Linked DNA regions of Neodiprion lecontei. The main gene of each other region encodes a partner of the protein of the gene in region 3 in a complex. Links are inferred from orthologs where the notes say so. Each region holds a gene or a part of one and is shown on either strand. Other genes may lie near its edges.

Region 1 (7,597 bases), on a different chromosome or scaffold from region 3:
GTTAATGTTGTCTGTGGACATGATAGTGTTGCAGCTGGGACACTTTGGTGGATTTTGGACTCTCGCACAATTAGCAAAACAAAGCATATGTAAAACGTTGTGACAGCAAATGCAGCGTTCACCCTATTTAATAATAGATCAAAATTAGAAGATTTTGAAAATTGTAAAATATATTATTAAAAGATTCAAAGTATTCACATGGAAGACCATTTGACGGCAAAGAGCACAGGTTTTAAGAGCTTCTTCGGAGTAACTAGCTTTGAAGTACGGAATCAACTCTGCTATGCTGCGTACACCCATGTAAAATTTACCATGCTGTAAATATCCGTAAATTAGTAAACTGATATGGAACAATTGTAACTGATCCGAACAACTTTTTATTTCGGTCTCCATCCGATCAACATCCAAGCAATACTAGATATAGCTAGCATAGAATCATTAATTGTACACTTTCAAGTATTATTCAAAGCTTACAGTTATATTTATCGAAACTAATCAATATCGTAGGGCTGTTCATTAATAATTATAAGAATAGTAATGACAATAATAATAATTACTTCCAGTCCCGCAATACCGTTTCGGGTATGACCCCATAAGCGGACAGTTTGTGTGGGATGAGGGAGGGATGGGTTACTGACCATTAATTATGCCTCTGCAGCCGTCTTAAAATTTTCATTAGAAACATCTGTGTTGGCACAGAAAGCAAGGAAAACTACCGAAAACTTTGCCCAAGTGTAGCCAGACCGAGTTCAAACTTCAGCTTGTCGATTGGGCGCCTAAATGACCTGACCCATCTTACAGTTTTTGCGAGCTGTCGCTTAGGTCCTCATCGACTAGCTAGTGGTTTGAACTCGGATTACATCGTTCGATAGTCTCGCACACTACACGTGAGATATGCAGTCTACATTACATCAAAAGTTGAAAAAACATAAAAGAAACATGCATCCTGGGCAATGATTATAAAGTCATCAAATTATTTAATTCTATTACCTCTTTGACAAACCACTTTTTCTCGACCATCTTTGCCAAGAAATCTTCGGCATCTGCTTTTGACATTTGAGTGTCGAGAGAAGAGCACAAATTCAAGCACGCAGTGCTAGGAGCACAACCATCGTCCGAAGTAATTATTTCAGATAAAATCTTTCTGAGCAGTTCCAGCTGTGCAGGTGAAAATTCATTCTGGAAGCTTAATTCAAGATTTTATTAACGCAATCTTTCTTTGACCGAAGGTTAAAAGGAGCACTTGACTTTTCTATTCAATTACAAACGAATTAACTCTCACAAATCATAAAAGGGAACATTATTACCATAGTTGAAGTAAATCGGGCTACTCATTTCTAGTAATTTTGATTTGATTGTTACTTTTACGTTAGGACTGCGCGCATAAACAGAAAAGACTGACTGTATGTAAATACTCGTGCAGCAAATGTCAAATCGATGAGTGTTTTAGATCTTGAGATTTCGAAACACTAATGTGATATGCCAGAGTTCTTACTATTGGAATATGAAATTCGATTCAACGAGTCCCCTTCTCAAAATTTGCAAAGTTGTGCAGTGTCCTGCGATATAAATGACAAAACAGGCAGCCTCGACAAACTGAACATTTACAGAGACAAGTTTCCCCACGTGTTAATCAGTTTGACATGACTATGGAATGTACATATTAACAATACCTCGCAGTTTTATCAATCAACGTACTGATCAGAATCCAATACTTATGACCTGTCAATTCACAGGTTACAAGTTTTATAGTCATGTTCAAAGGTTCCAGTTTAACATTGATTTGATGTATGTATGTCTGCGTGCTTTCGTTCTGTTCTGGAAATAAACGTAAATATTGCTGTTTGACTTCGACGGAAAGTGTTTGTATGTTAAAAAGTACGACTATTTGGATCACAGCTCAGGGGTAACTTACGAAATAACTTGACAATTAGTTCTCTCGCGTCGGCAGTGCTCACAGCTCCACGTTCCATTATCACTTGTAATAGCGCACGATGGTTATTGGTATACGACATGCTGAAGTTGATTGTATGCAATTTACTGTGATTAATCTATCAATGCATGCTCTTTGAGTGACAATATGCCGGAAGCGGGAAGAAATCAAAACACCCGCAATCTCTGACTGTCCTAAAATCATGGATCACGATTGCCAATGATACCCTTCATCGTATCATTTGTATGACAGGCATGGGGGTAACAACAGCGTCCTACATTTACCAACTCGTTTGTAGGGGTTAAACCGTGATTATCGACGAGCTTGAAAATGCCGCCAGCTGGCTGTCGGGAATTTGATTACTCGAGTATATAGCGAATCGGAAATTTGGCCATTCGGAAAGATGACGATTAGAGAATTTAGTAGGTCCCTAAAAGAGTGGGTTGTTGGTGTGGCGATTTTTCTGTCAGGCTGTACCCCGTGAAGGATGTATGCACCAAGTGTGTTTTCCGAACACGACCGTGGTTCCGATATTAGCTCCCGATGATATCAACAATCAGTTATCTCTCTTGCGCTGCCTAGTTCATGAGTAGCTCTGCCTCTGTCCGAAGGAATTTTACCGCTAGTAGCTAATTTCGGAACGCACTCCAAATATCGCGATTCGCAAAAACGAGTAAGAACGTCCAGAATGATTCAAATGCTCCACTATTTACGGCTTAAAGTTCCATAAACAACGTTCGTAAAATACTCACCTATAATTTCTGATTTCGCAGCGTATTCACGTTTCTTTTTTGCAAATAATAAAGCGATATTTGTGATTCTACCATTATGATAAGAAATTATTACGCACCATAACCTCATGAACTTGCTGTCACAACAACAAAACTGTCTCACTCGCACTTTATGCGAGAGATACAAAGACGCAGCTAAATCGTACTGCGCATGCGTGACTCGTCATCTCGGTTATTCTTCGCAGCGAACTGCTCACTTTTCGCTGAAAATTGATCCCACTTTTGGAATCGGAGTTCGGTGTGGTTCGGTGGAGTTCAGTCTCCTTCCCTCTTACTTCGTGCTTTTCGGAAAGACTATGCGGTACCACTTGTGAGACAAAAAAACTTCTATATGTAAGAACATCAATTGATGTGAGGGTATACCTCTGTTGACGTATGTAAGCGCATGTGCGTTTGTTATTTAAAACTATAAGTTGTCTCTGATTTAAAAACAAAATGCCTTTTGATCAGAAACGTATAAATGGTCCAGAGGTTTCCGTACCGTATAGCGTCTACACTGACGTTAATAAATCGAAATCAAGTAAACCAAAAAAATCACTGCATAAAAGAGTTGATGGTCGAGAGCATAAGGATCTCAGAAAAATTTGTAAGTAAGGTTATGACTCCTGTTATATTTTGTTGTCTTCTCTCAAAACTGGATAAATATATGGACCTACAAACCTAGAAAAGGACCTACAGCCTTTAGCATAAGTACAAAAAACAGAAAAACAGTTGAGTAAATATGTTATAGTAAAGCGCAACGGATGTTTATTTATAGTTGCATTTATGCATTATAACTAGATACTATCGTTTACGATTTCTTTAATGTTTTTACACAATTTGCGAATATCTGTACAGCAAGCAAAATAACCCATAAAACATTAAAATCTTATCAAAAACACAAAAGTTTAATCATTTTAAACATTCTAATTATGAAACCCTTTTACAGATCATTGATATCTTAACTTGCAGTACCAATTCCATAGTGTCATATCACCGATCATCTGTACAAAGGGCCTTAATTCAAAACTTGCGCAATACACAGCATAATTCAATTGTCCAACTCTGCGTCAAATTGATCTCAGGCTTTCTGAGTGGTTAAATCGTTAAGTCTATATGGAAAGTCTATTAAACTGAATGCGAATTGGAGAATAAAATGATTAATTAAAATATAGCACGATCTGATATTCTTGATTTTTGAATGGCAGTTGTCAAAACTGGTGTTATCAGCCAAGCAAAAGGATCAGCCTACATAGAGGTTGGAATTACAAAAGTGGTATGTTCAGTATTTGACCCGAGGGAAATTCCAAACAAGAATGAATACAGTTTACAAGGTGAACTCTTTTGCGAGTTTAAATACGCCCCATTTGCCTGTGCAAAGAGACGAATACACCAGCAAGATGCGGAGGAAAAGGAATTCAGTCTCGTTATGCAACGATCACTAGAACCAGCTGTTTGCAGGGTATTTATTATTTACCATTAACGAGACGAGTATCAGCTACTTTTGTAAATTAGAAAAAATAGTTTCAGTATGTAAATATTCAGGAATGTAAATATTAATTAACAACCTCTATATATGAAATGGACAAAGGAAATCAATGATTTTTATAAAATTTTGGGCTCCATAAAATACGTTCAAATTATTAAGCGTACCAAAATAGGCAAATGAATACTATGCTAAAAAAATTTTTCTTCAAAGACATTTCAGTTTTATTTTCACAACTGTTTTAATTCATAAAGTGTTAGCAATTCAACTCTGTATTTGTTAGTTGATGCACAATTCACCTTTCACAGCAAGAGTTCCCAAATTTTCAAGTCGACGTGTATGCTCTGGTCCTCGACAACGGTGGCTCCTCTTTAGCAGCAGCCATAATGTGTGCCAGTCTTGCATTAGCAGATGCAAGTGTCCCCATGTTTGGTCTGGTTACTGCAGTTTCCGCAGTAAGTGAAGTAAAGGCAGTAGATGCTCGTGAAACCTCCACAGGCCAACTCAATTTGAAATATCTTCGTAAAATCTTTCACAATAGAAACATCTTCATTCATAATGAACTATTGTCAAACTGCATTCTTCACATGGATATGAGTCTCTTGAAAATTTCAATTATAGTGTTACAGAAGTGCAGATAGACGGAAAACTGTAATAAAAATAACAGCTGTTGAGATATTTATGTTCCTTAAACTGTTAACGAACTTCTCATTTTCAGGGGTTCTATAAAGATACAATGTTTTTGGATCTGACAGTGGAGGAAGAGGTACTTTGTAATTCTGCACCAGCAAAGCCAAACCCACCCAATAACCATGGACTGATCATGCAAGCTGCTTTACCGCAACATGACCAGATTTCAGAGTTTTTTCTCGTTGGAAGCATTAACATAGATTGCATAAAACAAGCTATCGAAACCCTCACTGTAGCTAATAAGAATATATGTCCAGTTGTTCAGCAATGTTTAGTCAAAACTGTCCTCAGAGCTTTAAAGCGAAAGGAACAGGAAAAAAATTAAATAAAAACATGATTAGAAATGAATGAACCTTGAAATTTTCCATTGATTAGTTTGACAAGGAGAGCATGATGTACATAAAAATTTATACATTCATTTGAGTTGATAAGAATTGGTTTATTTATATTTTTAGAGTAACAGAAAAAATCAGTTCGCAGCTTATTTTTTATAGATAGGATTAATCTTCTGGTTTTTCTGGAGGTGGGCCACAAGGCTGCAGCATTTTCTCCATCAGATTAAATCTGACGCGTGCCTTGGCTTCGTTTTCAGCTAGCGCAAAAAAATTTAGAAGGTCGTAATGCCCCATGTAAGAGCTACATGAATCTCTGTGCTGATTAACCAACCATTCAAATTTCGTTGTGTCTGCATGACCTGTCCCAATGTACTTGGATTGAAGATGTTCCAGCTGACTATGGATATTGTAACGTTCCCCCATTCCTAAATTGAACAATAACAAAATGCGTGATACATAACCTCGAAATTATAGGTTAGCGCTATTAATGGGACGCAATATTCCATAAATTCATTTATCACCGTCTGTCGTATGGCCGAATGTACTCTTGCAATATGTAATGTCAGTTATACTTCACAATATTAACAATTACTAAAATAGTGAAAAATTTCACTTGATATACTTTTCTACTTACTTTTGACAACGCTCTTGATAAGTTTCTAGTACACTTCTTGGTCTCTCTTATAAATGATTAACGAGATCAGTTTTCTAATGTATGTACAAGATTAACTACTTGGTTTTCACAAAAGTTTTGTTGATGTATGTATGCAGGTCCAGATGCCGAGTCCGTATTTTTATCAGTTTTGACACAAAACTAGACAGATATTGTCGAACGTTACAAATCACGCTTCGTCTTGAAACCATAGACTTATAAAGATAGACTAAGCGCTCCTAGAAGAGGCACTGACAATCACATATAAGGGACAGAGATATATCAGGACTACTGCTCTCACTTTTCAATTGGCGTCATGGTGGAAGACAACGGAGCAGTGGAAGTGGAACAGCTGTAGATATAGGCGCATAATTTCGCCTCATTCTCCTCTATCGCCTCGATCCCAGCCCCAAATATCGTCAGAGAGAGAAGGGAGTCTCCCGGCATATTTCTGTCCTTTAAATGTTTGCTTCAAGCGGCTCATAAGACCGCTCAGTCTATCTTTATAAGTCTATGCTTAAAACTGATGATGCACAGATAGTGGTCAAGCTGACCGCATTCAACCTATCTCTCTCACTCCGGATTGATCTTTGGCATACCTGCAACCAATGCCACTTCGGTAGAAAAACTACACTAGCAACGCTAGTAGTACAGAAAATAACCCTAATGTGTACAATTACTGAAGACAAGTTTTGTCCGTCTTGTGTTGGGTGTTTGGTCAGTTCCCTGACACACGCTGCTAAAAGTGGTTCGCAAAATGTCCCTCGATTCTGCCGCCAATCTCCACCACTAGTGGCGCTAGTAGTTGTCTGAAAAGCGTGCGCGCGGTCTACGAAGGCAGCGAGGGTGTCAGAAGTTTACTAGCGCCACGTAGGGGAACTAAAAAACGGGGACAAAACGCATACAATTTTTTAGTATACGAGCAGTGGCGAGTGTCAGGGGGCTGGTGTTTGGCTCTATTTGCGACCTGAAAAAAAAAGGAAAATGATCATCATTCTCACAATGTCCACCACCGCTGTAGGTTAGCTGGTGACGTTAAGATCTTGGCCGTGTTCGTAAATTGACTAACAGTACTCAAAATTCCCTAGGACAGAGTCAGAGCTATTCACGAACTGGGAAGCGCAAAAGAGATGAAAGATTGCTGACAGTACTGTCAGTCAATTTTCGAACACGGCCCTTATCTTACTCATCCTCACAGACGCATAAGGCCCCTGGCGGATTTCCGTCGTACTAAGACAAAATAATCACAGTAACCGAGGGCCAGTTGGACCACCTCTTATTCTTACACCGTGCCCCCCTCCCCCCCCCCCCCCTCCCCCGCCGCCAATCTAACCTATCCTGAGCTAACCTAACCCATCCTCTTGTACAGAATTATTGTTGATACCTTAACCGAAAATGGTGTCTGTTGAAAAATGAGTACAGGATCTCCCTAACTTCGGAATAGCTCATATATTAGAAGAATGAATTTGTGATATTAAATTTAAGTATGTGATTTTGTATGAATGTGTCGGCGAAGTATTAGATTATCAATATAACAGGGTAACGACACTGCACTTTCGCAAATCAACATTACTTGGTCATCAAAGTAATGTGCTAACTGGCCTTAGTTACCAAGTTCACTCGATTATCAAGATTGCACATAGTGGCAAATTATAAAATTTGTATTAAATTGAAATTTACATAAACATCCACGATGGATCAAATGCTCCCGAGTCCGGGATTCAGCATCCC
Region 2 (8,478 bases), on a different chromosome or scaffold from region 3:
GTGGAAATAAAACGTACGATCAAACGAGGCACATCGTCACTTCAATATACACTTTCTTACGCGGCACAACACTGGTGAATTATTTCTGCATATTGATTGTTAACAACTACAATCTGTCAATATCTCTGAAGAAAAATATCGGATTTTTCTTACCTGAACAGTCTTCTACAGCTAAAAGGATTCTCAGCTTCGAATATCGCGACCCCACGCCACTTATGCGGCATATGGAAGTATACGGGGAAAATCTGCATCACCATTGGTTTATTTCAGATAAGCCGCAAAAAGTAAGCCAATCAGCGCCGACCTTTTACGTTTTGAAGCGTTTCTTTTTCCCCCCCAACAATATGGCTGCCGGTTAAAAGGGCGGGAGAAACGATAAGCAACAAACAAGTTCCAAATTTTACAAGCAATCTATCGAGTGCGGGTTTAAATGATTTAGCAGAGCGAATAAATGGAGAAAAATCATCTTCGCACGGTAGTTTCGCATTTAAATACGCCCAACGTCGCGTTAAACGCGACTTAAAATGACGAGGTCAAATGTTAATTGTTATAGATGTCGCCAGCTGCCAAGGTTGGAAACAGGGAGTAATAATTTGTCCCCGTCTTCTGAATTCGGAATCGTTCGGGATTCCGAAACGTAATACGACGCACTGCGTTGGTTGGACGAAAACTGTGCGATGTTGTGTGCGTGTGCGCATGGCTGCGTTGTGTGCGAGAGAAACCGAGGAAGTGTAAATAAGAATAATATACATATTTAACGAAAACGCCGATGTGGCTGTCGAAGTAAAAATTTTTATTTCCAAGAAACTCTCGTTCCCAGTTTGGTAATTCACTACCGCGACGTAGCCTCATCTGTAAACAATTCGTGTTCAACTTTCCAATTACGTTGTCGAGGTTATAGTTAAAAAAGCGTATAAAATATTGTTCGAAACGTAGTTTTGCGCCGGATTATCAACCTGTCGCTATTCGACCTCCCGACGATAATTCTGTGCAGTTCGCAAGATGTTCTTTCACTGCTATTCTAATGCCAGAAGACAGGGACCGGACCGTCATCTGTTTAACCAGTTCGCATAAAAGACCTAACAATCATTTAAAATATTTTGTAATTACCTAGCGGTAATTGTTTGATAAAAGTCAAGTCACACGTTGCGTCAATCGGCATCGGATAAAATGTCCGGCTGAAACAGATAGCACCGCATCTGGCACCAAACTCATGTGGATTTGAACCATCTCTGATACGTCTGTTAATTGTGTGGTAAATTTCACCGCTCATCATGAACGGCTTTAGCACCGGGGAAGAAGACTCGAGGGGAGCCGCGGATCAAATTTGTTGCCTGGTGGACGAGGGAGAGAGATGTACTCGTCCTACCAGCAACGCCTCGTACAGTAAGAGAATACAGAAAACCGTCACTCAGAAACGTCTCAAGCTCAATCTTGATCACATGGTACGTTCTCAAACATTTGTATCGAAGCAAAAGTTGCTACCTTCGAAAGGTTTTCGATGTGTAAAGGAAATATTGTTCTCATGGGCAATTTCACAGTGCTTCTTGTTTGTTTCAGGCCCGTCACATATACATCTGCGAATATCATAAGCAAGTTATACTCTGCGCCAGGTCCAAGCAGCAGCAACAGCAGCAACGCAGGCGAAAGGAGTCCGAAGAGGATTCGGGTGAAACTGATAACGATCTGCCAGAAGCTGACCTTTTTCAGCTTCAAGTCGGAACTTTGCGCCGTTACAAACGTCACTACAAAATCTCAACACGACCTGGACTGAACAAAGCTCAACTAGCAGATGTAAATTGAATTTCCATTATTTATCATCTTGAAAAATCATACAACCAGCTATAGATGGATGCGGAGAAAGACTACGAATGTCAACTAATGCTTATTTTGCTTTGCAATGTTACAGACGCTCATGAAACATTTCAAGACAATTCCTGTCGTGGAAAAAGAAGCTCTCACATTCTTCATATTCACTGTTAAGACTAATGCTAATAAGTTAGATCAGAAGAATGGATTGACCAGTGAACCTACGTAACATGGACTTGTCACTCGGTGTCCTCTACACTTACATTGGAAATCGTATGGCAAGGTATATCGAATAGATTGCTTTCGACACAAAACTAAGATAGATTGATAGCCCTAGAAACATTATGAAAATATTTAAATCTAAATGTGATATTTATTTTCCCTCAATTCTTATGATTGAGATTATTATATTATATATCAATGTATTTTTAATTTATTTCTAAGAATATAAATATCCACTTTTCAAACTAAGTAAAAAAAATTCGTTATACGGAATAATAATTTATCCACTTTAATTCTATACAATTGAGCTGATTTCGAAATTAATTTTTTTGTAAATTATACATGAATTGAACGTATCCATATATGGAACTAAAAAAAATGGTTTACTTTTCAAAATCGTTGTTCACAACGGAATATCGTGCTTCTGCCTTTTTTTTCAAACATCAATTCGATTTACTTGAACAATTCAGTGTAAATTCTCTCAGGGAATAAATCAACTAACGCGAAGTGCAATAGTATCGACGAATTAAGGGAAAATGTTTGGTGATATTGAATTTAGATGGGAATACGGATGAACTTTATAGAGGAGAGGCAGCCAAATGGGCTCTCTGTACATTCAAATGAGATTTAAAAAATTTTCGATAACGCTTGAAATGTAGGCTTAGGCTAAAGACGAAAAAAATAGCGCTATCGAAACTGTTCTAATGTTATTTCCCCTTAGGGGACCCATTTTGCCCGCCGCTCCCCTACATAGTACCTAAAAATATTTGCAGATAAGATTTATGGTGTACCTTATTCGACCCAGATACATTTTTATATAAAAAAATCGTGTTGCTTTTTCACTCCCTTTCGCAAAAAGTTCTTCATTTTCGGTATGTCTTTACACAATTTAAGTTCGCTGATTGTGAAATAAAATATAGAATAAAAATGGTGTACAGAGCAAACAGTTCACATCACAAATTCTTCATAATTTTAATTGATGTATCATCACAAGCTTTGTACTCTGATAAATTTATAAATGCATGTTTTGAAACGGGGAATGAGAGAAATTGTCGTGTGGAAATGAATGCAAGAAATGTTTGGGATCATTTTTCTATTAAACTACATGATATCATTTTTGCTGACGGTTACAGTATCTTCCTCTTCGCTGTCACCACCTAAATCTGTAAAAGTATTGCTTTTGAAGTGTTTATGAATTATTAATAAGTAGTTACGTATGCTGTGTAAAATTTCCGAAACTGAACTTGTCTAAAGTACTTGACAAAAAAGTTTTATCGTTATTAGGGGAAAAAAATGAAGTCACTGAATGTAATCGTATAAAATGCTCGACCTGGAAAGCTTTTGAGTATATTCCAAACTAAATCTAGAAAAGTTATTGGGTATTTTAAATTTGGCAAATAACAGAAAAGGTTACCTATATCGTCCAACACTTTTTTCTCTAGTTTCGTTTCCTGTAAGATTTCAATATCTTCGATTTCATCATCAGAGGATTCTTCAGATGCCTGCCAAGTATTGGGGCCTCCCTCTCCGACTGATTTACTCTGTTACAAAAGTAATAACACGAATAGTTTCGAGTCACGAAAATTATACAGTGCGAAATTAGATGATTGAACTTGGTAAAAATTTAAGTTCAGCACTTTAAACTAAATATTTATATCAGGTCAACTCGTTTGAATAACTAAGATTGAAGTATGCTAATTTTGTCATTGACAACGAATACAAGAAAATGTGTACCATATTAGTAATGAGCTCAGCAGATCCATGCCCAAGTGTTTTAATATTGTCATCCTCATCTTGGAAATCACTGGTCTCCATATCTGAAAACGAAATTTTACAAAACCCCAAATTATAATATAAATAACAGCAAATGCGATATTACAAATTTTCAAAGAGTGGGAATTTTTGATATTTACTCCAACCACTGATCTCTTATGAATTTTGATTGCCAAGCTATAGTAAACATCATTAATGCAAACTAGGCCACTAATCTCACCACTTTTGGGGCTGCTTTTCCCAGCAACCCAGTGCGCAAGTTTAATACTGAGCTTAGGTTTTGTCATTGCCGTCAATTTTCCGAATGTAATGCATTCCTTCAATCGACATACATCGCGATCTTCTTTGTTGTACCTGAAATTGTATAAATATTACAATTGTTGGCCGGTACAAGTTCTTACCAAGATTTACATTCCGGATGCAGAAACGCTTTTGAACTCTTGAAATGAAGCCAACCTACTTTGCTTCAACATCTTGCTGTGCTGCTTTTCTAATCTGCGTAACTAATTTGTTAGCATAATTAGCTGCATGGGGCGAAATGCTCGGCACCACATCAGCCGTCACAGATGTCTTGCCCAAATAGCAGAGCTGCAAGCTGCAGAGCTCTCTGTAAGAGTTTAATCCTAGGGTTAATTGCGATGCACCTACTCTCTCTTCCATGTAAGTAGGATCCATAACGATTTGGCCACTGAAAAAGATTAAAATGCTTTTAGCTTGAAGTAAACTGAGAAATGACTATTTGATTGTAAATTAACAAATTCTCTCTTCACCTTTCAAAGACAATAAACGAAACGCATACTGGATAGTGATGTAACGTTAGCGGGAGCGGATCTTTCTCGGCAAACGAATGGATAGTTATTGAATCACCAGTGGTAGTGACATCCGGTCTGTGAAAATGTGTCAGTGCAGCTAGTATAGCGATTGAAGCGCAATCGACAAGGTTGCCGTCGTGATTGAGAATGTTGACATCTACCCGCAGGTTCCATACCTACGTAAATCATTACTAACTATGCAGCATTCTCACATTGCACTAATCAAAGAACTTAGCGCAAAGCAATTGATGCAAAAATATTCTTTTCGAGTTAATTCGGCCGCATTAAAATCACCTTCTCATCTGCTACAATGCAGAGAGACTCCAAGTCGACGCATCTAGAATCTTTAAAGCATTTTTCCAACTGCCTGTTGACTTGCATTGCAAGTTCAGATTGTCTGCCTGCTTCAAAGTGTGGGGCAGCTATAGGATTGAACTCAACGTTGATATGAAGCATGCCTTCATTTGGACGCGATGCCTTTGGCTGCTGAATATCACAGGATACTTGGGCAATTGCTCTGAAAAATGTACAGCCAGTGACAAATATGAATTTTTAAGCAGTAACATAAGATGTAACGCCTTACTTAGTTTCACCCAAAGCTACGTGACAACAGCCCCAGTTTGCTCCAAAATGGATTTCCACTGGTCGAGCTTCCAATAATTGTCGTCCATCTAAACGCTGAATAAGATAATTAGGAAAACCCATTAATGATAGGTTAGAAACTAGTTAACGTAGCAATAATTTTGTTCTAACCGTGGAGGATATACGGGTAGAATCAATATTGATATAGGTTTGAAATACGTACACTTTATAAAGTCAAGACCAACAATAAGTAGAAAAAAAAACGTGCTGTAACAAGAGGTTATGAATAGTACAATTCTGACTTACCGTGTCTTCGGCTATTGCTCTATTTATAAAATTTCGTTCACAATTTGATAACGGCGTTTCCCTCATTCTGTATAAATTTATTTGCGAACGCTTTCACACAATTTATTTTAATTTCTTTGTAAATGTATAACAACAAATCGTATCTTATCTTCGACTCGTTCGAAATTCAAACCAATAAAGAATGCGAACCGTATGGACTTTACTCCACGGTTAGTAGGTCGGAGGAAATTACAGTATTCTGTTTCACAGACGTGATTTTACACTGGGATTCTGTAAAACGGGGCGGCAAGTGCAGAGCGATAATATTGCCCCCCGAATATAAGGGTTGAACCAAAGAGGAATGGTATATCTTCAGTCAACGCACTCACGATTAGATGAAAGAAAAAATTGCATTCGATTGATTTATAACCAGTCTCTTATTTTTATTGCCAACGCTTGAGCAGGAGTTGAATTTACATGCGTAGGATTCGCGTACCTCAGATTGCATCGTGAAGACGATTCTTAACTAAACTCAACTAAAATAAAACTAGGATATCAATATTTTTATAAAATAACAACGGATGCAACCTCAGAGAAAGAATTTTTTTGCTCAATACCAAGAAACACTTGGATGCTTGATGTCGATCAGCGTCCGGTCTGAAAGGCAGACGTGATGAACTTGACATTACCTGGCGTTAATTGACATCGAGAATCCATTCGCAATACACCAAATAAAAAATGATGGAATGTAGAATAGCTCACAGAATGGAGGTGTTTCATTGTCAATTACTGCTTTTGGAAGAGTAAAAAAATAATGCCCCGGGTGAGGATCGAACTCACGACCTTAAGATTATGAGACTTACGCGCTGCCTACTGCGCTACCGAGGCTCCGAGGTTATACGTTGGGTGCAACAAACGTTTCCACCAGCGTTTTATTTATGACAACTGTTTCACGATTAGGTTTTCTCTTCGAGATTATCCAGGTTTATTTATTATTATTATTCGGTTTAAATTCAATTCGAATTGAAGAAAAATATGATCTACAAAAAAGGGAATTTAAGCCAATTTGTTATCTCGACGAAAAAAAGTAAAACTTGTTACCTCAAAAAATCATTTCTTATTCCCATGATGGAAAACTGATATTTTCAGTATTTTCCATGACCAAATTAAAAATCCCCTGAAAATTCTAGGTTTTTTAATGATCCCTTTTAAAATACCCTGGCATTTCCAGTTTTTCCAGGTGTGTGTTGTCACCCATCAATTGTTTGGTACGTAGAATGCTTTTTTTGCTTCTGACAAACATATGGGACACTTGACATCGGGTGATGTATATAACCTTTTAAAATTGTTTAAATACTTTACAATCAATTCTATGATACAAATGTGGGTATTTGCTGAAATTATTCTATACCGACAAATATCGCGAATGAATATCTAGCCAGATAGATTAGTCAACTGACAATGAGCGAGCGTATTGAAAAACCAGCTAAGCCTTCGGGAGGTTTAAAGCACGGAGAGTCAGAGGGTAGATCAGCACAAGTCGAAGAGGACGAATATGATCCTTTTTTACATCGATCCCAGGAAAATTTAAATTCGTGAGTACGTTGTACTTCCTGTAGCCCGTAATGTGCATACGCTACGCTGGTGAAAATGATTTCTATAACGTTTTTCTTCAAATTGTTAGGGATGTTCGGAAATTTCGTACAATTTTGTGCAAAAAATTGTATTCCTACAAAATTGTACATGTGCATAGGTTCTCAAGAAAACTCGTCAATTTTACCATGAAAATTTGTATTTCTTTCAATAAAAGAATTTACAAGCTACTACAATTGTTAACGAAAATTAACAATTCGTCGAGAAATGATACGAAATGTTCCGACTTGCGTAAAAATTCGTAGTTGTAGAAATTTTCTCCAGGGTATAAGACACAAACGTTTGCATGGCTTGTTACACGCTTCGAAGACACCGCGCGTGTAAGTCTGAAATATTTATTGCAGCAGCACGAAAGATAATTATTATTGTGAAACTAATGATGGCAAAATTGAAAAATTTCTCGTCCCCCAAAGCTGTAATCTCGATCTAGGAGGAGATCTGATTACAGAGATGCAGCCGTTTTCATGCATCTATTCAAATCTACAATCGGCAGTGGTCTTCTTTTCCTGCCGCGGGCCTTCAAAGAGACCGGTACTATTTCGGGAGCGGCTTGTTCCATCCTGACGGGATTCGTCACAATGTACACGGCGATAACAACCGTAAGTGAATAATTCCAAAGAATGATTGAAAACTAATATGATACTACGGAGAAGTCGGGATTGCGAAACGAACCGATTCTGGATAATAATTATTCTCGTAAACTAATCACAATCATTCTCAGGTACGATGCGCCCAAATTCTTTGCAAGCGTGTTCGAGTGCCTTCTTTGGACTTGGGAGAAGTGGCCAGCTCGTCGTTTGAATACGGACCGGAATTTTTGAGGAAGTACGGAAGGACGTTTAAAGCCGTAACAAACGTCATGGCTTGTTTCGCGGAATACCAGACCGTCATAATATACATTCTGTACGTAGCAACCTCGTTTCAACAGGTGAGCAGAGAACTCTTCAATTAAATGCAAATACAGATAAGGCAATGTCAGGTCGAGCGTCATCGAAGTACGCGTATCGAATGTCTGATCATGGCACTGATTATCGAACAGGTCAACAGTTACTATCACTAAGAACACGATTTTCACCTTTTCAGGTAATCGAATACTTCTCCACGATAGTCTGGGACGTCAGAATATACATATTGTTGTCCGCGCCGTTCTATTGCTTGGTCTCCCTGGTCCCAAACCTGCAGTACCTGACCCCGATGTCGGTGGTTGGTAGCCTGTTTTTGATAGCGGGCTTCTTCGTCACTCTCTACTATTTCTTCAAAGACATGAAGAGTCCCTCGCGTCTGACCGCGTATACAAACTTCGTAGCCATGCCTGTTTACTGCACCATATTCCTGTTCGCGC
Region 3 (8,342 bases):
CATTCATGCCGCAAGGAGACTTTATTGTCAGCGCGTCACGGGACAAGACCATAAAAATGTGGGAGGTAAGGAGTAGGGTGCAAAATTCACACTGAAAAGCAGTTATGGTATTTCTCTTGATATTTCTTTTAGAGAAAGGATTGTATGTGACAAACGATTTAATATCACCAATTTGTTTGGTCATAGGTTGCTACTGGTTATTGTGTAAAAACGCTTGCGGGGCACAGAGAATGGGTCCGTATGGCACGGGTGAGTCCTTGCGGCGAACTGATTGCAAGCTGCTCAAACGACCAGACTGTCAGGGTATGGCACGTTGCAACTAAAGAAACCAAGGTACTAAAAATGCTCCTTAATTGTACCCTCCATTAATTTTTATCCAGTAAATAATCAATCCTATGAATAACATGATATAAACTATACTTGGTTCCTTACAGGTCGAACTGAGGGACCACGATCATGTTGTGGAATGTATCGCGTGGGCCCCGGAAACATCGCGTGGAGCGATCAACGCTGCAGCTGGAGCAGACAATAAAGGGGCACACGAGGGACCCTTCCTGGCATCTGGATCCCGAGACAAGACAATACGCGTGTGGGACGTTGGGGCTGGGGTATGTCTATTCACTCTCCAAGGGCATGATAACTGGGTACGTGGAATAGTGTTCCACCCAGGTGGTAAATATATAGTCAGTGCATCAGACGATAAGACGCTGCGGGTATGGGACACCCGCAACAAACGGTCAATGAAGACGCTTGAGGCACACATGCACTTCTGCACGTCTGTTGGTGAGTTTTTTGGTTTTCTCCGCTTTTTAATTAAATACTCGAGGGAATATTGCAATAAGTGGGCTAGCCCTTCAGCCGCTATGAGAATGGAGGCATGATATACATCATCTTTTGTATTGTAGATTTTCACAAGAGCCATCCATACGTGGTAAGCGGTAGCGTGGATCAGACGGTAAAGGTTTGGGAATGCCGCTAGTCACCCAGTTTCTGAAATTACTGAAACTTAACAAAAGTCCAGTTCCATATGGGGATGGCACAGAAGTAAGCTGCTGAAAAGCTATCGTACATACTATTATAAAAACACATAAGCATATACGATTAAGAGATCCTTAATTAATTTATAATAAAGTATAATAAATTAGTAATTGTAATAATATTGTTTAACAGTAATAAAGTATTCAAATTAAAGGGCTACAAACGGCTTTAAGAGGCTTCTGAAGAGGTATCGTATGCCATAAGAAAATAGAGAAATTTATCGTGTACAATGATATTGTTGTAAGAAAAAAATGTTTCAAGAGACAAGCAGACTCGATTGGTTCGCTAAATTGTAAGTTCCAGATTAGTGGCGCAATAAATAGGTCTATCGGTCAAGTAACGAAATGTAAAGCCCTTTGACTGCTTTCGATATTTTTGCGATCAAGCTTTGAATAAATTTATCACGCCGTGATACAATATATTATTGGATATACAGACCACGATTATCTTAATGCACTCCTGAGAAAAATTTCATTCATTTCAGTCCGTTTTGCGGGAAGAGTTTCCGCCTGACAGTTATTTGAAACGTGAAGTAAGGTTTCAGAGTCTCTTGTTGAGGCCTCTTGAGCTTGATGATAAAATTATGAAATGATAATTATTAGAGCCAGTTTTGACTTCAGTTAATACCAGATTGAATCAAATTCTTTACAACATATCGCTTGTTCGACGTGATTTTCTATCTTCATATTTTTGTCGCGGATGCAAAACATGTTATCAATTGATAGAATAAATTGCATGCAAGATACAGTAGCCTCGTTGAATAAGTAAATATTATCTAGAGCTTGATCGTTGATCGATCATCATTAACGGACGTTAATGACTATACCATATATACACTTCTAAAATCCTTCACCCTGTAATTAGCTTGACAGTTTCTTCTGGAACATCGATTATTGTCCAAACGCAAGTCTTCATCCAAAACCTAAGCTCGAGAAGTTCTGAAGTTGACCTGGCTCTACTATTTACGTAACGCTATTACTTTATTTATATACATACACGTATAATATACTATTGCTATGCTATACTATTCTACTACACATTGAATATTAACCATTAATCTACCTTATACCCTATTGTGACTACTGTACTCAAATTATCTATTTCATCACACTAAAAAATTGAACAAAATTTTAAGAACCCAGTATACATATACTTTGATTACAATTAATTGCCCAGCAATGAGAAATCGTTATGATTATACTAATTTGAATTAGAAAATTGCGGTAATATAATAATATTCTTTACCAATAACGTTTTGATCTATGGTCAAGCGTAACGTTGGACTGGCTGCTGTTACTCAAATGATTTTTGACGTTAAATTCTTCGCGTTCTTACCAAGATTTAATTTCTCAATTTCGGTGGAAAGTTTGTTGGAATTTGTAACGTCAACTTTTTTTCAATGCTGGACAAACTTCTTGACGTGCATTATTAACGTAATATTACTATATACAGTAAATTAATAGCAAATTACCAATAAAATTTGTGAAATTGAAAAATATTGATTACACTTGTGTATGGAGATCATAATTTCTGTAGCTTAACAATGAATGGGGTGTGAAACGAAGTATACTAGGATACTAAGTAGGATAGTACTGTTATAATATGAGTAGGAACACTTGGAATACGTGTAGAAATTAGAGCACACACATACGACTTGCAACCAAATAGACGTGATGAATAATAATTAATTTTAAAATAGTAACCACTCAATATTGTACCCTGCCCATCTACTTTCCTTGTTTACGTCCTTTGTCTTCATCTTCTCAAACGATGATGGTATTAAAGTATTATATTCTTTAATAAAAAATTGTCTCCAAAAACTACATTCTAACTTACAGAGTATTCTTTCTCACTATCTTTTGCCGACTGTTGTGTGCTCTATTGCTTTCAATAAATCTAAGTAGATTATCACTCATATCGAAGGAAGATTTTATTGCAAAAAAAAGCATGTTTCATAAAATACTTAAAATATCTGGATGTACACCAAGGGTTGTGGAATTAGTCTTTTTCTTAGCTTATTCGGAGTAAATTACGGGCGATACTCGAACACAAGGCTGGCATTTCTGCTGGTGGGGTGTTTTCCGCAGCTAAAATAGCATTGCAAGCCGCTATTGTCTCGTGGACTGATCTGGCCTTCATCCAGATCTTTCCATTCATACCTATGGCGATTTCGTAGGCCTGTTCTTTGGCAAGCAATGTCAACAGCTGACAACTTGGGTGAAGCAATTTCCTCGCCAAACTAAGGGAACAATCAAACAGCATCCCATCTGGACTTAAGACACCTAACTTGCCCTTCTTCCCATGAGAATCGACGCATATCAACTCCGGTTCCATGCCTTTGCTAGCCACCAGTAGCTTGGCAAAAATCACGTCACCTACGACAATGTCAGGTCGATTCTTTTTTGTTGCTCCTTCAAAAGCCAAGTAGGATAGAGATGCCAGTTCCCCTGCCCCGATGTCAACTCTGTAAATATCCCCAGCCTTCTGCGTCACTATTCCAACAACATTCTCCCCTCTGTTCGGGACGTACCTGTAATGAAATAAATAAATTGTTATTTAGAACATATCGAAAGAGATGTTTCCGCAAAGAAGCATAATGTTGATAAGTAAAAGGTAAACAGGCTCGAAATACAATTATTCTAAAAATATCAGTTAATCGATATCGAAGCGAAAAGGAACAGCAACGAAGAAAAGTCCTTGAATCAGGCAAGAATATTATTTATTGATCAAATGATATGATAAACATGCATCAGCTTACGTTATTGCTGAGTTGGACAGACCAATACATAGAACATTTCATATTATTAACCTTTTCTGATAGCTATCCACGTAAAATATAGCTGGTTTTCGCCTCTTCAGTACACCAGCTTTGGTGACAAGGACGCGGTCGCAGTCGCGACGCAGTCCAGGACCAAGAATCACTCGCTCTTTTTCACTTGATTTCATTATTTCTACCGCGACATCGCCAGGAACCACAACATCCTTAATATTTACTTCCATTCTGACTGCAAGAGGTAATGGTATAAGCGTGGGAGCCTCGTCTGTGTCGCCTTTGAGAGTAATTTAGAGGCTATGTTTACTATTCTAACCTGATCTATCAATGTAATCTCACGGGTGGCCGGTGAAACTATGGGTAGAAACGTGCCTGACAGAGTTGAGTATGAGCCTTGCGTACCAGACCTAACTAGCTTAACATAACCTGTTCGGACTGCGCTCAATCTGTTCTTCGCGCAAAATGACACAGACGTCGTGCTCAAAAAAATTGATTTCACCATTTGTTGGAATCGGCAATATTATCATCAAATATACAAAAGGGTTAGCCTTACTTTTTTCCTCGTTTTTTGACCGAAAAATTTTTCGTCTTGGAATTGATTTGTATGACCCTTTCCCGACCAATTGGACCACCAGGAACTCAGAAAACGCAGCGAAAAGAGCGTGGGACCAACAGGAGAGAAAATACGGAGGAAAAAGCACCTGCTGAAAAGTGTCAAAAATACAGGTTCTCGTTTTTTGGCTGTAACTTCTGATGCGTTGATCGCAGCGTCCTGGGACTGCGCTCAATCGATTTCTCTCGCAAAATTACGTCGGATTAGTGTCAGAAAGAATTTATTCCAGCACTTTTCAAAATCGCGAAACTTTTCGCCAAAAATACAAAGGGGTTAACCTTCCTTTTTTTTTGACCGAAAAATTTTCCGTCTTGGAACTGATTTGTATGACCCTTTCCCGACCAATTGGACCCCCAAGAACCCAGAAAACGCAGCGAAAAGAGCGTGGAACCAACAGGAGAAAAACTACGGAGGAAAAAGCACCTGCTGAAAAGTGTCAAAAATACAGGTTCTCGTTTTTTGGCTGTAACTTCTGATGCGTTGATCGCAGCGTCCTGGGACTGCGCTCAATCGATTTCTCTCGCAAAATTACGTCGGATTAGTGTCAGAAAGAATTTATTCCAGCACTTTTCAAAATCGCGATAATTTTCGCCAAAAATACAAAGGGGTTAACCTTCCTTTTTTTTTTACCGAAAAATTTTTCGTCTTGGAATTGATTTGTATGACCCTTTCCCGACCAATTGGACCACCAGAAACTCAGAAAACGCAGCGAAAAGAGCGTGGGACCAACAGGAGAGAAACTACGGAGGAAAAAGCACCTGCTGAAAAGTGTCAAAAATACGGGTTCTTTCTTTTTTGGCCGTAACTTCTGATGCGTTAATCGCAGCGTCCTGGGACTGCGCTCAATCGATTTCTCTCGCAAAATTACGTCGGATTAGTGTCTGAAAGAATTTATTCCAGCACTTTTCAAAATCGCGAAACTTTTCGCCAAAAATACAAAGGGGTTAACCTTCCTTTTTTTTTTGACCGAAAAATTTTTTGTCTTGGAACTGATTTGTATGACCCTTTCCCGACCAATTGGACCCCCAAGAACCCAGAAAACGCAGCGAAAAGAGCGTGGAACCAACAGGAGAAAAACTACGGAGGAAAAAGCACCTGCTGAAAAGTGTCAAAAATACAGGTTCTCGTTTTTTGGCTGTAACTTCTGATGCGTTGATCGCAGCGTCCTGGGACTGCGCTCAATCGATTTCTCTCGCAAAATTACGTCGGATTAGTGTCAGAAAGAATTTATTCCTGCACTTTTCAAAATCGCGATAATTTTCGCCAAAAATACAAAGGGGTTAGCCTTCCTTTTTTTTTGACCGAAAAATTTTTCGTCTTGGAATTGATTTGTATGACCCTTTCCCGACCAATTGAACCCACAGGAACTCAGAAAACGCAGCGAAAAGAGCGTGGGACCAACAGGAGAGAAACTACGCAGGAAAAAGCACGCGCTGAAAAGTGTCAAAAATACGGGATCTCGTTTTTTGGCCGTAACTTCTGATGCGTTGATCGCAGCGTCCTGGGACTGCGCTCAATCGATTTCTCTCGCAAAATTACGTCAGATTAGTGTCAGAAAGAATTTATTCCAGCACTTTTCAAAATCGCGAAAATTTTCGCCAAAAATACAAACGGGTTAACCTTCCTTTTTTTTTGACCGAAAAATTTTTCGTCTTGGAATTGATTTGTATGACCCTTTCCCGACCAATTGAACCCACAGGAACTCAGAAAACGCAGCGAAAAGAGCGTGGGACCAACAGGAGAGAAACTACGGAGGAAAAGCACCTGCTGAAAAGTGTCAAAAATACAGGTTCTCGTTTTTTGGCTGTAACTTCTGATTCGTTGATCGCAGCGTCCTGGGACTGCGCCCAATCGATTTCTCTCGCGAAATTACGTCGGATTAGTGTCAGAAAGAATTTATTCCAGCACTTTTCAAAATCGCGAAAATTTTCGCCAAAAATACAAAGGGGTTAACCTTCCTTTTTTTTTGACCGAAAAATTTTTTGTCTTGGAACTGATTTGTATGACCCCTTCCCGACCGATTGGACCCCCAGGAACTCAGAAAACGCGGCGAAAAGAGCGTGGGACCAACAGGAGAGAAACTACGGAGGAAAAAGCACGCGGTGAAAAGTGTCAAAAATACGGGTTCTCGTTTTTCGGCCGTAACTTCTGATGCGTTGATCGCAGCGTCCTGGGACTGCGCTCAATCGATTTCTCTCGCAAAATTACGTCGGATTAGTGTCAGAAAGAATTTATTCCAGCACTTTTCAAAATCGCGAAAATTTTCGCCAAAAATACAAAGGGGTTAACCTTCCTTTTTTTTTGACCGAAAAATTTTTCGTCTTGGAACTGATTTGTATGACCCTTTCCCGACCGATTGGACCCCCAGGAACTCAGAAAACGCGGCAAAAAGAGCGTGGGACCAACAGGAGAGAAACTACGGAGGAAAAAGCACGCGCTGAAAAGTGTCAAAAATACGGGTTCTTTCTTTTTTGGCCGTAACTTCTGATGCGTTGATCGCAGCGTCCTGGGACTGCGCTCAATCGATTTCTCTCGCAAAATTACGTCGGATTAGTGTCAGAAATAATTTATTCCAGCACTTTTCAAAATCGCGAAAATTTTAGCCAAAAATACACAGGGGTTAACCTTCCTTTTTTTTTGACCGAAAAATTTTTTGTCTTGGAATTGATTTGTATGACCCTGTCCCGACCGATTGGACCCCCAGGAACTCAGCAAACGCGGCGAAAAGAGCGTGGGACCAACAGGAGAGAAACTACGGAGGAAAAAGCACCTGCTGAAAAGTGTCAAAAATACAGGTTCTCGTTTTTCGGCCGTAACTTCTGATGCGTTGATCGCAGCGTCCTGGGACTGCGCTCAATCGATTTCTCTCGCAAAATTACGTCGGATTAGTGTCAGAAAGAATTTATTCCAGCACTTCTCAAAATCGCGAAAATTTTCGCCAAAAATACAAAGGGGTTAACCTTCCTTTTTTTTTGACCGAAAAATTTTTTGTCTTGGAACTGATTTGTATGACCCCTTCCCGACCGATTGGACCCCCAGGAACTCAGAAAACGCGGCGAAAAGAGCGTGGGACCAACAGGAGAGAAACTACGGAGGAGAAAGCACGCGGTGAAAAGTGTCAAAAATACGGGTTCTCGTTTTTCGGCCGTAACTTCTGATGCGTTGATCGCAGCGTCCTGGGACTGCGCTCAATCGATTTCTCTCGCAAAATTACGTCGGATTAGTGTCAGAAAGAATTTATTCCAGCACTTTTCAAAATCGCGAAAATTTTCGCCAAAAATACAAAGGGGTTAACCTTCCTTTTTTTTTGACCGAAAAATTTTTTGTCTTGGAATTGATTTGTATGACCCTTTCCCGACCAATTGGACCCACAGGAACTCAGAAAACGCAGCGAAAAGAGCTCGGGACCAACAGGAGAGAAACTACGGAGGAAAAAGCACCTGCTGAAAAGTGTCAAAAATACGGGTTCTCGTTTTTTGGCTGTAACTTCTGATGCGTTGATCGCAGCGTCCTGGGACTGCGCTCAATCGATTTCTCTCGCAAAATTACGTCGGATTAGTGTCAGGAAGAATTTATTCCAGCACTTTTCAAAATCGCGTAAATTTTCGCCAAAAATACGAAGGGGTTAACCTTCCTTTTTTTTTGACCGAAAAATTTTTAGTCTTGGAATTGATTTGTATGACCCTTTCCCGACCAATTGGACCCCCAGAAACCCAGAAAACGCAGCGAAAAGAGCGTGGGACCAACAGGAGAGAAACTACGGAGGAAAAAGCACCTGCTGAAAAGTGTCAAAAATACAGGTTCTCGTTTTTTGGCTGTAACTTCTGATGCGTCGATCGCAGCGTCCTGGGACTGCGCTCAATCGATTTCTCTCGCAAAATTACGTCGGATTAGTGTCAGAAAGAATTTATTCCAGCA

What was found. Proteins that work in one complex are often made in the same cells at the same time.
Region 1: exosome complex component RRP40 (region 3) and exosome complex component MTR3 share a complex: the UniProt entries of both Homo sapiens proteins name them as parts of the RNA exosome core complex. The link is inferred for Neodiprion lecontei from reciprocal best matches to the Homo sapiens genes EXOSC3 and EXOSC6.
Region 2: exosome complex component RRP40 (region 3) and exosome complex component RRP45 share a complex: the UniProt entries of both Homo sapiens proteins name them as parts of the RNA exosome core complex. The link is inferred for Neodiprion lecontei from reciprocal best matches to the Homo sapiens genes EXOSC3 and EXOSC9.

The regions. Positions count from the first base shown.
Region 1 is NC_060261.1:14,537,761-14,545,357, reverse strand, and holds exosome complex component MTR3, read left to right. Parts: upstream 1-2,954; 5' UTR 2,955-3,159; coding exon 3,160-3,310; intron 3,311-3,911; coding exon 3,912-4,165; intron 4,166-4,497; coding exon 4,498-4,644; intron 4,645-4,907; coding exon 4,908-5,204; 3' UTR 5,205-5,227; downstream 5,228-7,597. Other genes in the region: non-structural maintenance of chromosomes element 1 homolog, read right to left, coding at 1-123, 199-315, 991-1,186, 1,674-1,818, 1,916-2,015; splicing factor 3B subunit 5, read right to left, coding at 5,380-5,637; TATA-box-binding protein, read left to right, coding at 7,560-7,597. UniProt on the Homo sapiens protein: Non-catalytic component of the RNA exosome complex which has 3'->5' exoribonuclease activity and participates in a multitude of cellular RNA processing and degradation events.
Region 2 is NC_060265.1:3,640,138-3,648,615, reverse strand, and holds exosome complex component RRP45, read right to left. Parts: upstream 5,866-8,478; 5' UTR 5,571-5,865; coding exon 5,505-5,570; intron 5,295-5,504; coding exon 5,200-5,294; intron 5,134-5,199; coding exon 4,911-5,133; intron 4,793-4,910; coding exon 4,575-4,792; intron 4,493-4,574; coding exon 4,265-4,492; intron 4,159-4,264; coding exon 4,025-4,158; intron 3,849-4,024; coding exon 3,766-3,848; intron 3,573-3,765; coding exon 3,446-3,572; intron 3,195-3,445; coding exon 3,133-3,194; 3' UTR 2,371-3,132; downstream 1-2,370. Other genes in the region: histone deacetylase complex subunit SAP30 homolog, read left to right, coding at 1,275-1,445, 1,561-1,794, 1,910-2,038; proton-coupled amino acid transporter-like protein pathetic, read left to right, coding at 8,445-8,478. UniProt on the Homo sapiens protein: Non-catalytic component of the RNA exosome complex which has 3'->5' exoribonuclease activity and participates in a multitude of cellular RNA processing and degradation events.
Region 3 is NC_060264.1:3,209,786-3,218,127, reverse strand, and holds exosome complex component RRP40, read right to left. Parts: upstream 4,402-8,342; 5' UTR 4,365-4,401; intron 4,309-4,364; exon of another isoform or gene 4,044-4,308; 5' UTR 4,039-4,043; coding exon 3,848-4,038; intron 3,569-3,847; coding exon 3,049-3,568; 3' UTR 1,426-3,048; downstream 1-1,425. Other genes in the region: lissencephaly-1 homolog, read left to right, coding at 1-65, 187-333, 435-783, 906-979. UniProt on the Homo sapiens protein: Non-catalytic component of the RNA exosome complex which has 3'->5' exoribonuclease activity and participates in a multitude of cellular RNA processing and degradation events.